Nothobranchius furzeri: one gene and its partner. The protein of the gene in region 2 purifies or fractionates together with the protein of the main gene of each other region. This does not show direct contact. Links are inferred from orthologs where the notes say so. Each region holds a gene or a part of one and is shown on either strand. Other genes may lie near its edges.

Region 1 (4,189 bases), on a different chromosome or scaffold from region 2:
ATTTTTAGCATATTTTAGGTCCGATGTGTTGCTACCAGATGTACAGTGAGCACATGACTCGTGAGATCTGCCCTGCGCTGAAGTCGTACAGTTTGAGCTGAAGCTGTGTTACGAGTGAAAAAGTCGCACAGTGTCCGCCCAGCTTATTATAATGTTCACTGTAATGCATCTTGATGTTCTTAACAAATAAATTAAATCAAAAATATTGGTCAATAATGCCAAATATGTAAATTTGTGTTTCAGTCATTTTTATACTGGCTTAAAAATACTTCATTAATTCTACTAAGCAGGGGTGTAGAACGCGTTTAAGAGGGCCAGCCCAGTAATGGTCTTGGACCAAAATAAAGGGGGCAGAAAGTCAAATAAAGGGGGAAAAAGAAGATGTTTTTCCAGACGCCAAGAAAAATTAAATGCCAAATCCACCCTGCAAAGTGTGTCACTGAGAGTTTAAAACAGAAATTATTCTTGTGCAAATATTGGTGTATTCACCTTTAATACTAGTTATTACACTGCAGCAGTCGCTGGACTGGTGCAGTTCAAAGTGGAGTGCATCAAATAAAACAATATTAACATAAAGGTGAGACGTGTCATAGTCCCCCCCCCCCCCCGCCAACACCACCTCCACCACAGCTGGAAAAATTCCTAGGGGAAACACTGTCCCTGATGATGTTAGCAGCTAACGAGGGGCAATTAGCTTAAAGAGGCGACTGTCCCCCTTTGTTCTCTGCCACGACGTGCTTCCTTTTAAGGCGTTCGTTCATCAGCATTATCTTCTTGTGAAAGAAGTCCTACTTTGCAGACTTTGCACTGTACATGCTTATTTTTGTAAAATGCTTTCAAACTTTGTGCTACATTGCAGGTCGCCATGTCTTGTTTTTCCGGTGATGCAATGGCTCACCCGAATGGCCGCTACTGCGCACGTGCCTCGAACAGAAAGACCGCAAGCAGCAGTGGTACTGCTGAAGCAGGTAAGATTAAAACAATGCGTAGAATAAACAACGTAGACTATTAAGTTTATTGATGACTATTTTGTTTGTTGATGTCATCATGACAAATCGACCAACCCTGGCAGGACAAGCTAACACTTTTAACCCTCCCACTGTCTTAATGGGTGACCCCACGAGGAAAGTTGACCGTTGAGCAGAATTGATTGTTTATCCCTTGAAGTCCACGTGGCAGTGGTGAGGTGGTGGTCACTAGTCGCCCATGCCACATGGACCCAAGGGATAAACCATCAACCCTGCTCAATGGTCAACTTTCCTCATGGGGTCACACCCATTAGGACAGTGGGAGGGTTAAGGTAAGGCAGACTGAAGCTTTCCCTGGAGCAAGCAGGAGGGAAGCCCCTAGCGCCGACCACCCCTAGCCCTCTGCTACTTGTCCATCAAAAGGACACGCCCCCAATCATTCATAATTTCAAGCTTTTATTACATCTAAACAGAAGAGTTACATAAATTCCCCCCCCCCCCCCATAAGCTGCACACACGTTGACTGTTAAAAAAAAGGTTGCACTACATGAAAAAAATAAATTAAAAAAGCTGCACAACACAACAAAGTGATGATGAACTGCATTGCTAATGCATTTCTTAATCAATTTTTTTCCCCAATTCGTTGTTGCAACAGTAGCTCAGGAGGTTGAGCTAGTTGATTAAATGAATGATCAAAACCTTTAACTGATACTCCAATTACATGAGTTAAACCTATCAGATAGTAGTTTCAACAGACATCTGCATATTAAAAGTTAAATTGAAACATCAGTCTGCACAAACACACAAAACATTACCTTTGTCATTTAAAGAAAAACTTTGCTCAGCTGGCTTGTGTCCTTTGGTGGAAATATTTTGACTTTCTTGATCGCGGGACTAAACTATTATTTTAGTTTTATTGTAACTATAGTACATCTGGAAAACTTTTGTTCTTTAACTCATGATTAAGTAGCACTAGTCTGATCTGAAAATCAGAATTTAGAATAAAGGTGAGGCTTGAAAGTTTAACTAGAATATTTTTAAAGTACAAAATCCATCAGTGACAAATTATTTCCAGTATATTATTAGATCAAAAGCACAAACTTCACGCATTAAAACGGAATTTGAGGCTTTATTCTTATTTAGTTTTTTCCGTCTGGAAAACTGATGGTTTCTTATCAGTGTAAACTTTTCATTCAAAAGCAGACTTTTGATTTTAAGACATCTAATAAATAGAAAATCCCAAACCTAATCGAATTGGGACTTTCAAACGTAACAAACTCACTTTTTGTGAATTTTCCTACACTACTCGAGCCCTCTCGGAGTGCTTTTATTCAAACTACAGAGCAAATTAGCAACGTTAGCATGATGAGCTAACTAGCTGCTTACTAAAACTTTAACGTTTGCGGGCGGGATGGGTTAGCAAATTCAAACACACCGATGGTAACTCAAGGGAAGTGGCTAAAATAAGTTTTGGGATAGACTGACTCTATTCAACCAGCCTGAGAGTTAGTCACAGCTTTGGTCCTCATGGAGAAACAGAAACAACGTTGGCCAGTAGCAACAAAGGAGCGATGAGGGGCTTTGTTCTAGCGAACAAGCTAACGCGTCAGCAGCAAACATGGAACGAGAACTCACCGGATACCCAGGCCCGGGCATCGGAGAGCGGTACATGTGGTTCTGCGCGGCTGACGAAGGCCCCATTCTTCCAGAGGGAGTACCGGGGCCCATACCTGGTCCTGCACCGGTTGCTGGCGGTCCAGGGCCCATTGCTCCACCGCCACCACCCGTCGGAGCAGATTGAAACCCCCCTCTGGCCGCCATCTCCTCTCTGAGTGTCGCCGCCGGTGGAAGCACGAAGCTAACGCGAGAACAAGCTCAATGGGGAGAGTTGGAGATGAAACAGCGCTATCTGCTGCTCACATCTGGTAACAAATAAATTAGCTTTTCTATTGAGATGCTGATGATAGTCTTTCAACCATCCATGAAGCCTGATAAATAAATAAATTAGAAGCGTTGTAGCCCAAAGTGGTGCAGAAAACAACTACATGCTTAATTTTGCATTTTTAAGCATACTAAAAACTTATTTTTATTGTTTTTGTATTTTAATTGGTGTGTTCAATTGATCCAAATGTTGTTTCTGGAGCTCTGAAAAAAGTGTCCACTATACAAATTTAGCATCATTTCAATTGCTTCCTGCAAGACCAAAAATTTAATAAAAACCCATTCTAACTTCGCTCACATATCTGTAACATCTATGACATCTACAAAGTCTGCAGAATATTTTTAAACCAAAACAACATATTCTGGAACTTTTACTGAAAATACCGTAAGAAAAGAGATTTTACTTTAAAGTAGAAGAAAAGCACAGATAAGAATGGTATTTTGAGTGATTTTGTCCCATTTGTCTCATAAAACTGAAATAAGCTGCATTAATTTACAAATTAATCACTTTGACATGCAACACATGAGCATCAGCAGATGCGTAACTTTTATTCAACGAGAAAATACATGCTGAAATGTGAAAAATATCAAAACATTACAGACTGCAGTAATTAGTTCTTTTTTAATTTTTATCAGAAGTTCATGAACTGCAAGTCGCACCATCTCCCTCTGTTTAGGAACATCACACAAATTATACACCACATCTCCTTTCATCACAGCAGGGGAACATAAATTAGTGAGCCAACTGCTTCCGTGTCTGAGAGGTGATCTGAATCTGCGGTGCCTCCATGAGGTTTTTCAGTTGACTCATGATCCTCTTTGAATGCTTGTTGATTGTATGCAGATGCAGAGATCCTAAGATGAGCAAAGTTTTAAATGTTTTGAGCTACGGTCCTGCAAAAATTCACAACAGTTTATGTATTTTTTCCCCCAACTTTTGATGATGTTACACTTTCTCTGTTCAGTATGGAGAATCGGCAGCACAAAACATGGGGCACCATTTGTTTGCATAATCTCTTTGTGTTGGATCAGAAACAGATTGCTGGCTGCCCGGGGGGGGGGGGGGGGGGGGGCATGTGTTTTTGGACATCTAAAAGCATCTACACTGTAATTATAATTTTCATTTTGGGCTTTATACCTTGGTGCACGAACAGGCTTATCCTACAGGCTTCTAAATGTGTTTAATAACAACTAATTGAAAAAATGGTCATTACTTAAACACACAAGAGGCCAAATGAGGCAGGCTGAAGTCTGACAGCTAATACGGCATCTTTCAGTGG
Region 2 (4,222 bases):
CTTGTCCATGCGTATAGTTACGCTCATAGATGCTAGCCAAAACTCTGGAGTTAAAAGTTTTCTGGCTTTACTAAAATACCTGTCTGTACTTATTTGATTGATGGTAGTTTTACTTTCTATTAGACTCCAAATGTAATCATTTGGCACGTTTCTAATTCATAATTTGTAATAATGTAATCGGCGATATTAGCATTAGCATTCCTATGGGTTTTTCCATGTATATTAGCATTGCGTTAACCACTCGCTGCCAAATTGCAGCCTTTGCGATTAGAAAATCTCCTTTTGTCACATCGCAATTTAATTGCACATGCAGTTAATCGTTCAGCCCTAATATACATGCAGCTCTAGAGTGTATTTTCAAAGAGGTAATGATGGATTTCTTTGTAAAAGTTGTCCACCTTTCCAACAGAAAGATTTGCCTGGACCAACATAACATGATTGCGTAATTCCGTAAGGTTCATGTTCAGCCAATCAACTACTTAGACGTCATCGGCAGTCGACGGACCCCGAGCCAATTTTGCACCCGAGCAGATCTTGTACCGACACCGGCAGGACAGACAATGCTGCTGATGGTGTTAAACAGCACCTTGGGGTTCCCTTTTGCTCTGGGACACCAGGTGGGAAAAATAGGAAACCCTAGCGTCTCTGACTGCAGAGTTAAAGGATGTCAGAAGATCCTTTAGGTGCAGCAGATGGACGTGGAGATGGGTTTTCTTCCACAAGCGCTCAGTTTTTCTGCATTGGCGCTTTAGGCTGCGAAGGCTGTCATTAAACCAGGGAGTAGGGTTCACTGCAGGAACTGATCTGGTTCTGACAGGACAGATATTGTCCAGAATGGAGAGGCAGTGCTCGTTAAACTGAGAAGTTCAGGAATCTGGGTCATTATCAGAAGAACAGGGTGGATCAAAAGCAGCAGAAAAATTGCTAGCTGTGCTCTCATTAAGAAAACGAGAACTAACCAGATGGCGAGCAGGAGGTGGGGACGCAGAAACGGACAAGTTAAAGAAAATGCAATAGTGATCAGAAATATAAACGTCCTCAGACAAACACCGGCTACAGGATAAAAACAAGGTCCAGAGTGTGTCCCCAGGTGTGTGTGGGGCCAGAAACATGCTGGGTAAAGCTAAAGGAGTCCATGAGGCTGGCGAAATTCATGGCAAAGTGATCAAAGGGATCATCAACGTGTATGTTAAAGTTACCAACAATCACCAGTCTGGACAGCTTCACAGTGGAGGATAGAAAGTCACTAAACTCCTGAAGGAAAGAACTGTTTGGACCAGGTGGACGATAGACCACAGCACAGTAGAATGGGTCCAGAGCCACAGGGGGCATTTGTGGCCCTCACACTGATTTTGTGTGGCCCTAATATGCAATTCTAGAATGTTGGAATTTTATCTCCAGCACGCTGTTCACATTAAGTTCTTTTTTTTTTTTTTGAGTATTTGGCCTATTTTGAGTGAGAATGAAAAAAACATTTAATAACTGCATCATATTTAACATAAATTGATTAATAAAAGAATGTTTGTGGGCAGAAAGGACAGTTTGGACATCCCTGTTCCAACTTCTGTTTACCTTTATTGCAAAATAAATTAATGTAAAAAGTGAAATTTTTAACATTTGCAAAGTTAGTATCCATTAACTAATAATGAACTATCAATTAAGTCTGCTTCAGATAAGAATGGGCGAAAAAAAAATACAATTCAACAAAATTACCATTTAATGTTTAAAATAAAAATAAAATTCAATGTGCATTACTTCCGTGGATAACTGTTTAACTGAACAAAGTCACTCTTTAGATCAACCAAACGAAAATGTTTATAAATAACATCAAAAAGCCTGATAAAATAAAACAATATAAAGGTATAAACTTGTGTCTTTTGTGTTGATCTTCATCATGTTAAAAGTGAAAATATGAAAAAAGTTATGCGACAATCTAACTTTCTGGCTTTGTGTGGACTTTTGGTTAATCACCAAGCAGGCAGAGTCGCGACTCCAAACTGATAAAACTCTCATCCTGGAAACTAACGCGTGTTATCTGGAGGTTTGATGTGAACAAAATGTGATTTAGGTGTAAAAAGGCGAGCAGACTGACGTGTTCAGAGCCCAGCAGCTACTTCCCTCTCCCAACCCCCACCGAGCCTAGTTCTCTATCAGACCTAAAGGGCGACTCAAAGCGCTTAATTTAAAACTCCAGACGGACAAAACTGCTCCAACTCCAGAGCGCCGTCGTCAAATTGTTTCCAGGTCCAGACTCTTCGGTCGTTGCGCTCCGAAAACCGCCGCCTGCGCGAGCAGCTCGGTGGCAGGCAGCAATGGCTTCATGTGACTGCATCGAAATGGCTTCTGGGTTCAACCCTTTGCCGTTAAAACCAACGGAAAATCACCGGCTACATGTAGTGTGTCCCCGCGCGAGCGGAGAGGGCGACCGGTGGGGAGGCTACAGCCTGCCGAGGCGGCTCCGGTGCACCTGAGCCGCCGGTACATCTGCCGAAAAGCCCGTTCAAAAACTACCCTTTATCTCTCTATTTCATCCCTCTTTCCGTCTCGTTCTTTCCCTCTCCTCCCCCAACAAGCAAGCCTTTCTCCTGTTAGATAACGAAGCAGAGTCTTTCATCCTCTTTCTCTTACCATTTTCGTACTTTCTCAATAGCGGCCATAACCCTCTTGATGTCATCTTTCGCCCTGCTCCGTGTCTCAGCTCGGACCGACCTGCCCGACATTGCCGCGGTGGGTATAATATTTTTAAAGCTCGCCGGCAGTTCAGACACAATGCAAACAGTAGAGCGCACAGAGGAGCCAGTGCGCAAGCGCGGCCTGGTGGAACCGGGGGAGGAGGGGGAGAGAGAGAGAAAAGAGGCCGGCTGCAGCTGCACTCTGAACAGAGATGTGTTTCCCTGCTGAGACAGCAGCAGAACAAAGGCAGCGCGCTGCCTCGTATTCTGCCTCACATATCTGGAAGAGAAGGAGAGAAAGGAAATAACCCTCCACTCTCACCCTTCAGAGCATCTTCACAGCTTAAAGGGGTTTTGGGGAATCTTGAATTTCATTAGTTTCCTGTTAGGCCCCACACTACCAGATACAACGAGAATAAAAAAAGGAATAAAGTATTCTGTCCATGGTGACTACCTCTTTGTGTTTGTTCTCTGTGCCTCTGTGTTTTGTATTTTCAATATTTTTCTTGGAATCGCAATAACCTAGCATTCAAACCAACAGATTTGGATTTTTTTAATGTACTAAATGCATTTGGGCTCCTTTGTGTGTCATAGTTATTTAATGAAAATTTTTTGCATTTGTGTTTTTAAGCTTTACAGAGTTTTCTAGTCTCCTTGTGCCATGTTTTAATGTTGTCATCAATAAGATGTTTTTTTCAGTATTGGCTTCATTCTTGTTGTGTATCTCATGTTTGAGAAATCTTTACACTTTGGATCATCCTGTCTGTTTAAAGTAGGCTTGTTTTTACATCCTAGTGTTTCCCCTTTAAAATGTTTATACATAATTTATGTCAGAGATTATTAAATAAATCAGAAAACTTAGATCTTAGTTTCATTTTATCATTCACTGTGGCAAAGTTTGAAAAAATAATTCAACTTGTCTTGAGAAAATCTAAGGGCTGCATGAGCTCGTTCTACTGTCAAATTGATTAAAAAAAGACTATGTTGCCCTCTAGTGGTGCCAGCTTTTATGGAGAATAAAAACAAACAAAAAACGAATTTATTTGACCGGAGTGGGACAAATAAATATAAAACAGGAAAATGCACAAGCTTTGCGTGGTGTTTTAAAATGTTTCGCTAATTTAAATTCCTGCTTGTTTTTTTCTGTAGGTATATTCTAATGGCAGCTTTTCTCTTTTTCGAAATGTTGTTTCTTTGATTGACTTATCTTTTGTGAGTTTTTGTACCTTCTTTAATTTGATTTATTTTATGTGCAGCAGGCACGTGTAGAGGGGGTGGGCCGGAGGGTGCTTGAGCACCTGCCCCTTTTGTCCGAAGTACCCTAAGTATCCTTTTTCCGCTCTTTCGCCAGATTTTACTGTTCAAAACTGTTATACTGTGATACATATCAGGCACTAGGACCATGCGGAGGCAGCCGCTTCAAGCTGAAGCCCATTCTGAGCCCATTTTCCCTTAGACCCGCCTACAAGCTCACTGATTGGCTCTGCTGCACATACTAACGTGTGATTGGTTGTCCCTGCTGTCGCTCTACCTTGCAGTCATGGAGACGA

What was found. The genes of interacting proteins can lie anywhere in the genome.
Region 1: the proteins of bcl7a (region 2) and smarcd1 purify together in Homo sapiens (affinity purification with mass spectrometry; 5 studies listed by BioGRID and IntAct, counting the BioPlex papers as one, with this or other methods). This does not show direct contact. The link is inferred for Nothobranchius furzeri from reciprocal best matches to the Homo sapiens genes BCL7A and SMARCD1.

The regions. Positions count from the first base shown.
Region 1 is NC_091743.1:58,867,547-58,871,735, forward strand, and holds the start of smarcd1 (SWI/SNF-related matrix-associated actin-dependent regulator of chromatin subfamily D member 1), read right to left. Parts: upstream 2,833-4,189; 5' UTR 2,790-2,832; coding exon 2,604-2,789; intron 1-2,603. UniProt on the Homo sapiens protein: Involved in transcriptional activation and repression of select genes by chromatin remodeling (alteration of DNA-nucleosome topology).
Region 2 is NC_091746.1:40,383,699-40,387,920, reverse strand, and holds the start of bcl7a (B-cell CLL/lymphoma 7 protein family member A), read right to left. Parts: upstream 2,817-4,222; 5' UTR 2,721-2,816; coding exon 2,629-2,720; intron 1-2,628.